Linked DNA regions of Xenopus tropicalis. The protein of the gene in region 2 interacts with the protein of the main gene of each other region in a pairwise test. Links are inferred from orthologs where the notes say so. Each region holds a gene or a part of one and is shown on either strand. Other genes may lie near its edges. The genes, in order: dpcd and ruvbl2.

The links.
Region 1: the proteins of ruvbl2 (region 2) and dpcd interact in binary tests that used the Homo sapiens proteins (3 or more experiments, as listed by UniProt). The two-hybrid records come from large-scale screens. The link is inferred for Xenopus tropicalis from reciprocal best matches to the Homo sapiens genes RUVBL2 and DPCD.

The regions. Positions count from the first base shown.
Region 1 is NC_030683.2:30,780,108-30,784,569, reverse strand, and holds the start of dpcd (protein DPCD), read right to left. Parts: upstream 2,993-4,462; 5' UTR 2,790-2,992; coding exon 2,726-2,789; intron 1-2,725. UniProt on the Homo sapiens protein: May play a role in the formation or function of ciliated cells.
Region 2 is NC_030683.2:113,417,080-113,421,629, forward strand, and holds the start of ruvbl2 (ruvB-like 2), read right to left. Parts: upstream 2,801-4,550; 5' UTR 2,605-2,800; coding exon of another isoform or gene 2,556-2,604; intron 1,568-2,555; coding exon of another isoform or gene 1,512-1,567; intron 1-1,511. UniProt on the Homo sapiens protein: Possesses single-stranded DNA-stimulated ATPase and ATP-dependent DNA helicase (5' to 3') activity; hexamerization is thought to be critical for ATP hydrolysis and adjacent subunits in the ring-like structure contribute to the ATPase activity.

The DNA.
Region 1 (4,462 bases), about 83 Mb from region 2:
GATGCACACTTACCAGCCACATGAATCAGTAGCTTCAATAGGTCTAGGACAGGTCTAAGACAGCCCAGAGAACTCAAAGTGTGCATAAATATTGAATTTACATTACGCATATTGATGAAGCCAAAGTTCTTATTTTTAAAATCTGCAACTGGGCAGTAACCCACGGCAACCAGCAGGTTTGTTCACACATCTGCATGAAGTACTAGAATGTTACTGGTTGCCTTTAGTTTCTGCACTAGTGCAAACTTGCCCATTGTCACAGGGGACAGTATGGAGGGGTTGATGCCACCACTAATGTTGCAGCTCAAAACAACGATGGCTGTGTGTGGGCCACATTGATGGTGGAATGGGGATGCCTATTTATGGGATGCCTTGGTGATGGCACTTGTGCTTATGCCCATACTCTGGCCAGATTGCGAGTATGCTCAGATCTCACATTTACATAGTGATACTCTGGGATGGAAAAATAACAGACTTCATTCTTCATTTCTGGTTAACTATACTTAGACTCTGCTTTCATGACAATATGAGTTGTTAATAGCTTGCCTATGGGCAAAGTGGCACTGGTTGTCACAGGCCAACAGCCTGTCAGATTTGGGGCCTGGTGCGCACTGCAACCTCTATCAGCCTCTCCCCAGCCGCCAACTCAATACCCCCCTCTCCCCAGCCGCCAACTCAATACCCCCCTCTCCCCAGCCGCCAACTCAATACCCCCCTCTCCCCAGCTGCCAACTCAATTTTATAGAGCTATAGAGGAACCAAACCCCGTGGTCCAGGCCCCCTGTGACCGCAGTTTGTGTTTCCTTTATAGTTGCACCACTAAGTATAGAATCTATAATCCTGAATGCTTGGGACCTGGGGTTTTCCCAATAATTTATTTTTTTCACCATTCTTAAAGTCTACTACCAATTAATTAAACCCAGCAAGACAGTTAAGGTACTGTTTTTTATTACAGAAAAAATAAAAAGAATTTTAAAAATGAGAATTATTTGATTAAAATGGACACTATAGAAAATGGCCTTCCCATAACTTAGCTTTCTGCAAGGTTTCTGGATAATAGATCCCATACCTGTGTGTGTGTGTGTGTGTGTGTATATACTGTAACTGAGCATATATATATACAAACAGTTCCTAACACCCACTCTCACTGTGCTGTGGCTGGTAACACTTCCTAGCACCCACCCTCACTGTGCTGTGGCTGGTAACACTTCCTAGCACCCACTCTCACTGTGCTGTGGCTGGTAACACTTCCTAGCACCCACTCTCACTGTGCTGTGGCTGGCATTTACATTCTTCCATAAGCTCTTACATTGCCTTGTGACCACAGGCAAAGGTGACACACACACACATATGGGAGTTGCACACATACACATAAACTCTGGATACACACTTATCTACCTATGGGCGAGGTCACACTTAGGGGCTGATTTACTTACCCACGAACGGGTCGAATGGAGTCCGATTGCGTTTTTTTCGTAATGATCGGTATTTTGCGATTTTTGCGTAGCGTTAAAACTTACGCGAAAAGTTGCGCATTTTTCGTAGCGTTAAGTTTTAACGCTACGAAAAATGCGCAACTTTTCGCGTAAGTTTTAACGCTACGCAAAATGCGCAACTTTTTACGCAACTTTCGTAATGGATACGGAAAACTCGCGTTTTTACGCAAAAATCGTATTGGTAACGAAAAATTCGTACAGAATCCGAAAAAATCGCAAAACATAGGAAAAAGTCGCAAAATGTTCGTTTTCAAGTCGGAACTTTTCCAATTCGGGTCGGATTCGTGGGTTAGTAAATCAGCCCCTAAGTGTATATATCCTTCTCTCAACCCTACGTTTTTCAAACAGGCTGAGAGAAGCAGATCTGCTTCCCTATGCTTTTGGGTTTTTTTCCCGTGTGCCCACACTCAGGCAGTTGCCATAACCTTTAATGCAGGCACACAGAGAAGCACAAGAAAGCAGATCCGCTTCTCTCAGCCTGGCCGAAAAAACGCAGGATTGAGAGAAGTGGGTATGCGCTTTGTGTGACCTCGCCCTAAACTAAAAAAAAAAAATGAGACATTAAGCCCCTAGGTAAGAATAGAAGGATTTGATTGGGGGGAGATCAAATATGAGACTTGTTTGTTATATGCTTGTTATTATGCATGGGATTAGTTGTCCTTTATTGAACTAAACCTGCAGGTCCTGTTGTAAATCATCTTTGGTTATGGGACTATTAACTGACAGAACCTAACAATTTGGTCTAAAACCTTATCCCCAGCCAGTGTCCTGTGAGCAACATGGGTGTTACTCCCAGTGGCCTCAAAGCAGGGGCTTATTTTTGAATTATTGACTTGGAGGCAAGTTTTGGTTGCATAAAAACCCAGTGTAAAGCCACACAGAGCCTTCTCTTGGCTGCCAGCCCACATAGGGGCTACCAAATAGCCAATCACAGCCCTCCTGAATTTCTGCTTATGTATCCTCAGTTATCAGTTCAGCAGTTCCCCTGCGAGTTTGTTCAGCTTTACCAGGCTACTGGCTGGACATAGTTTACATGTTTATGGCCTAAGATTTTAAACTCCACCAGGGCAGTGTATTGAATATAATCTGTGTAGGCGCTATACAAATAAAGCATGGGATTTGGTTATTGAGGAGGTTGAATGAATGAATATGGTTAACGTTAGCTCTATATCTTTCTCACAGCATTAAAGCCCAAGCCGATGTGACTGCGTTCCCACAAGAACACTCACCATCCTGTAAAATGCACGTTTTCTGCGCAGCCTTCAGACTCTCCAGCCAGCTTGGAAGCGCCATCTTGGAACCTGTCACACGCGGGGCCGAGTTACTATAGCAACCCAAAGCTTGCCGGCCTCTTAGGCAAACCGACCTGAGTTGCCATAGTAACGCAGCGGACTGCCTTGTAACGTGTACACAAAACCTATCAACATACCTATCCCAAAATATAAAACGTCTCTACAAAGCTACTGCTGTAACGGGATATTATATATTCTCTTATTATCGGGCTCATTAAGCAATGGACTCCGGTGACCACTTCCGAGTCATCCGGATACGGAAGTGACCTAATTAAATGTCCGTGTATGTTTATAGATGTGGTGTTGAACTCTAGTAAGTGAATGTGAGGGGGGGACAAAGCGATAAGTTACTGTTTGTTTCTCTGTTTGGGGCGCTGTGTGTGTATTTTCCATGTAACTATTTGGGCGCAGTGATCTATAGCAGTGATATATAGAATCGTGGAACTACATCTCCCTCCGAGATGGCTGGAGAGCTGCTGGGGAAAGAAAATAACACATAATCACACATTAAACCGTACTGTTACTTAGGGTTTGGGTTCCATAAGAGAAAGTATTGATTACCTTCCTTAGTGTAGCTGTTTGTATAGCAGAACATTAGGCAATCACAATGGTCTGTTATTAAGTGTACTTATATTATTTGCTACTGTTTATTGCTTGGGGTGGGGTGGGGTGGGGTAGGGTAGGGTGGGGGAATAATGCCAATTTTACTAGAAGGACGAAAAGATTGATTTAGCAGCCCTGGGTTCATTTTGTGGTAACCCTAGCCACTGGTTCCTATATATAAGCCCACTGACTCTGAGGGCAATGGGGAGATTCCCTTTGGTGGAAAAAGCTCCATTGACTTTATTGGTCAATGGGAGGTCAAGAAATGCCTCCCATTGGGGTTAACAGTAATCACCAGTCCAGACGATACCATAAAAAAAAGTAGAGGGCAATTGTGAGTTTTACTGCCTCCCCACTGCCAGTCTCTCTGTGCCATTGCCAGTAAGCTGGCCATATGTGGGTTGATATTGTAAGCCAACTCTGCCTCTCTTGGCAGTCTGCAGCCTAATGGCCGATGCACAGGGCAAAAGCGATGATCTCCCTACCTGTATCTACTCAGGGTTTGGCCAGGTAATGATATTTCTGGCAGGAAACTCCCATCAGGCAGATGCTACATAGAAACACAGTCCTTTCTTAATGACTCTGCCCGGGTTGATAGTTTTGGCTGGAAATCCCATCATCAGGTAACCCCAGTCTGCGAGTTAAAGCCACATATAGGGGCTGATTTACTAATCCACGAATCCGAATGAGAAAAATTCGGATTGGAAAACTAACATTTTGCGACTTTTTCGTATTTTTTGTGATTTTTTTCGTAAATTGTCGCGACTTTTTCGTAACCGTTATGACTTGCGCGAATTGTCGCGACTTTATTATAGCCATTACAAATTTCGTGAATTGTCGCGTCTTTTTCATAGCCATTATGACTTTTGTGAATTGTCGCAACTTTTTCATAGCCATTATGACTTTCGTGAATTGTCGTGACTTTTTCATAGCCATTATGACTTTCGTGAATTGTCGCGACTTTTTCATAGCCATTATGACTTTCGTGAATTGTCGCGACTTTTTCATAGCCATTATGACTTTAGTGAATTGTCGTGACTTTTTCATAGCCTTTACGACTTTTGCGAATTG
Region 2 (4,550 bases):
CAAAAGCTAGACATCATGCCAAGATCCAAAGAAATTCAGGAACAAATGAGAACAAAAGTAATTGAGATCTATCAGTCTGGTAAAGGTTATAAAGCCATTTCTAAAGCTTTGGGACTCCAGCGAACCACAGTGAGAGCCATTATCCACAAATGGCAAAAACATGGAACAGTGGTGAACCTTCCCAGGAGTGGCCGGCCGACCAAAATTACCCCAAGAGCGCAGAGACAACTCATCCGAGAGGCCACAAAAGACCCCAGGACAACATCTAAAGAACTGCAGGCCTCACTTGCCTCAATTAAGGTCAGTGTTCACGACTCCACCATAAGAAAGAGACTGGGCAAAAACGGCCTGCATGGCAGATTTCCAAGGCGCAAACCACTTTTAAGCAAAAAGAACATTATGGCTCGTCTCAATTTTGCTAAAAAACATCTCAATGATTGCCAAGACTTTTGGGAAAATACCTTGTGGACCGACGAGACAAAAGTTGAACTTTTTGGAAGGTGCGTGTCCCGTTACATCTGGCGTAAAAGTAACACAGCATTTCAGAAAAAGAACATCATACCAACAGTAAAATATGGTGGTGGTAGTGTGATGGTCTGGGGTTGTTTTGCTGCTTCAGGACCTGGAAGGCTTGCTGTGATAGATGGAACCATGAATTCTACTGTCTACCAAAAAATCCTGAAGGAGAATGTCCGGCCATCTGTTCTTCAACTCAAGCTGAAGCGATCTTGGGTGCTGCAGCAGGACAATGACCCAAAACACACCAGCAAATCCACCTCTGAATGGCTGAAGAAAAACAAAATGAAGACTTTGGAGTGGCCTAGTCAAAGTCCTGACCTGAATCCTATTGAGATGTTGTGGCATGACCTTAAAAAGGCGGTTCATGCTAGAAAACCCTCAAATAAAGCTGAATTACAACAATTCTGCAAAGATGAGTGGGCCAAAATTCCTCCAGAGCGCTGTAAAAGACTCGTTGCAAGTTATCGCAAACGCTTGATTGCAGTTATTGCTGCTAAGGGTGGCCCAACCAGTTATTAGGTTCAGGGGGCAATTACTTTTTCACACAGGGCCATGTAGGTTTGGATTTTTTTTCTCCCTAAATAATAAAAACCCTCATTTAAAAACTGCATTTTGTGTTTACTTGTGTTATCTTTGACTAATAGTTAACGGTTTTTGATGAGCAGAAACATTTAAGCGTGACAAACATGCAAAAGAATAAGAAATCAGGAAGGGGGCAAATAGTTTTTCACACCACTGTATGTAATATGGTTTAGAACAGTTCCCTTAGCCCTGCCCCCTGTTCTCCTGCTGATCTGGCTGACAAGCCTGCCTTCAGCCAGCATACTCCAAATCCCACAATTCCCTGCACATATGATGTTAAATTTACTTTTAGAAGGAAGGACAGATCGACACGTATCCAATCTGCCACTTGCTTGTCTAACGCTAACCAGTGTCATTATAAGCAAAAATTCATAACCATTCATATTATAGTATTAGAGCGCTTTCAGTACCTGACGGGGTTCCAACGCATCGTCAAGGCCAAGCCCTCTGATGTGAGAATGTGCGCCTGGCAAAGAGAGACAAATGTTAGACTATATACACAAAAATAAGCAGTTAATAGGTAGGAAACACAAAACACAGACTAATTTTAATGTGTTGGATATCTTTTGTATTAATCTATACATACCCAGACTACCTCATACAATTAATATGCACTGTTACACGTGCTAATGCTAGGATGCCAAATGCAGAAAAATAAATGTTTTACAGCTGGATTTCAGCATATAAAATGGTATTTATTCATACTTTTTAATGGAACAGATTACAGGGATAGGTATATTAGGGGTTTCTGTGTTGTGTGGGGCTCTTTAACTAATTTTGGCTTGGAAGCCGCTGTTTGATTTAATGGATATGGAGGTGAATATATATTGTCTTAAGCGAGTTAGAGAAAAACATAAACAGACACTGCTTTCATTTGCAATTACATGTACAAATTGTTTCCTTGAAATATTTTATTATTTGGATATTTGTTAAGCAATATATATGTTTTATTTTATCATATATAGTATATATATATGTTATCAAAATAATCTGGCACAGAGCCAACAGCTTGACCAAAGTGTAGGAAAAAAGGCACTGTGGGCATTCCTTATTAGCAACATATTTCTTACTTTAAACAGGCAAAAAATTATGCTCAGCACTCAAAATTTTTGAAAAGGGGTGTATAATGCGCGTTTAAAATTGTTGTTGCAATTAGATAAATAAAATTAAACACATTTGGCTTGAAAGTAAATGAAAATAGTGATGGAACTTTGTGATGCTAATGCCTGGGATTGCAGCAAAGTTACAACCCTCTGTAGCTATTTATCACCAAGGAGACTGTTTGTTGATTAAACTGCACTGCTGCCCATGGAAACAAAAAGTGTCACGATGCAATGGAGGTGAATACATGAGTTCTAAAATATTCAGTTATTTGAATAGGAGGGCTACATGGGAACCACATCATGTTTAGCAGGTTATTTTTGTGTTTATTTTTGTAGTATTTTTACACTCACCAATCCTCTCAATCCGGGTGACATCTCGCACCTCTGGCACCTTGGTTGTCTATGAGACATAAATAACCATGAATATTGATCACGGTTTCCTTTAGACATCAATGCATGAAATACTAATTACAACTCAGCAGCAAAATAAATGCAGGAGACATTGGCTTATAAAGATTCACCAATGTTTTCTACAGAATGTGAGATTACCTCTTGAGAATTCCAAATGTATTTGCCCCACCCCTGCATGTTGTGAGCTGAACATTGTTTTTTGTCCACCTCATGCCCATTTAGCCCTACCTTTATATAAGAACAACTGCAAACTGCCTCGGCCTATGCCTGTCATTACCATCCTAACAGTCTGCCCTAAGGATCTTCCCCGTTAACAAACGGTTTCCTAGTAACAAATCAAGGTTGTTTGCAAAGCAAATTCTCCAACAATAGGATACGGGATGGTAAGAACCAAGGCAAACTGTCCTGCTATAGGATACCCAAAACACACGGGTAATTCATGGAACTGGAGTCATTTTACTCTTATAGTACTCAAGAGCAACTACATACACCCCTGTCACACCAGGCAACACAAGCCATCTGACAGGGAGTATGATGTGAAATAACAGCTCAAGCAGGTGAGCAGTTTATCTAATTGAAAGGATTTACTAACATTTGCACTAAAAATCTGCCTTATTCTGGACAATTCGTAACCAGGAAGCTGTTTTTTTTTTTTTTTTGGTCATACAAAAAAAGATGGGCTAAACTGGCAGACTGTCTATCCAGGAACAAGCAAAACAAAGCTACTGAGACTAACACCGTGTTAAATAATTCATCCCCAGAGGCCCAGAATATTCAGCATACCTCTGCCACTACACCACAAGCAACCCCCCTAGCTACTGCATGGCTATATCCAAGGATGATGGAAAGGCTGGAGGAAAGCATCTTTGGTCTACATTGCATTCAACTATAGAGTAATTAATTTGCTTACCATGAACCAACACTACTGCTCCATATAAAAGTGGCCATACACACCAACACATTTCACAGAGGGGGGAATTTACAAACAGATGCATGCCCTACGGTGATGCAGAACCCCATGGCAACCATAGTTCAGCTTTTTGCAGTCAACTGAGCAGAATGCTATGGAGTAAATGTTTCAGTTCTGGTGAGGCTGGCTGCACTAAGAGGCCTGAATATACTGCATAGAAACAAGAGCTCTTTTTCACTTTCCAATAATGATAAAGGAATGAAATCTTACGCCATGTAACTACAAACCTGAACCTATGCATAGCCACAGGAAAAGTATCTCATATCTGTTATAGGCTGTTTCTCTGGAGCTAGTGTGTAGATCTGGGTTACTCTTTTATATGCAGTGCCCCCTATACCCCATTTGGCCTGGTCAGGTTCCTGCTGCCTCTCCCTGGGCACTATATGTTGACTAACATAGAGCAAAACTGTCCTGATGAAGTAACCTATGGCAACCAATGAAATACAAATGTTTGCTGTAAAGAGGAAAAATACACATACATTTGTGGTGGGGTGCCATATTGTTAGCAGTGTTGGGCTGGGTGCCCGGGGCCCCCACTACACTCACCTACATTTACTTAGCCACAAACATAGAGGAAAGGCAGCAGGGTTGCAGCAGCACTTACAGGTATCGGGTCTGGGTCGGCGGGGCCCCCCGGGTTTTTTTCCCCAGTGTCTCACAGCCCAGTCCGACCATGACAGCCATGATACCAGTCACTAACCTACAGCCTCAGTGGTACCTAGAAGAAAGCAGGGAGGCAGCAACAAGGTGCTTTACATTAAATAGAATGGAGCACCAGCCTGGGAAAGGAGGCCAGAGATTAGAGAAGGTGTGGCTGCCACATTCTAGCAATTTTAGGTTTAGTTGTCATTTAACTATTCTTCCTGCGAGTGGCTAAACAAAGCTGCCCAGTTGCTATTGGTTACTGCCCAGGTGCAAACGAGCTCAGTAAATAAGCCCCACTCAATAAGAAAAGGATGTGCTGT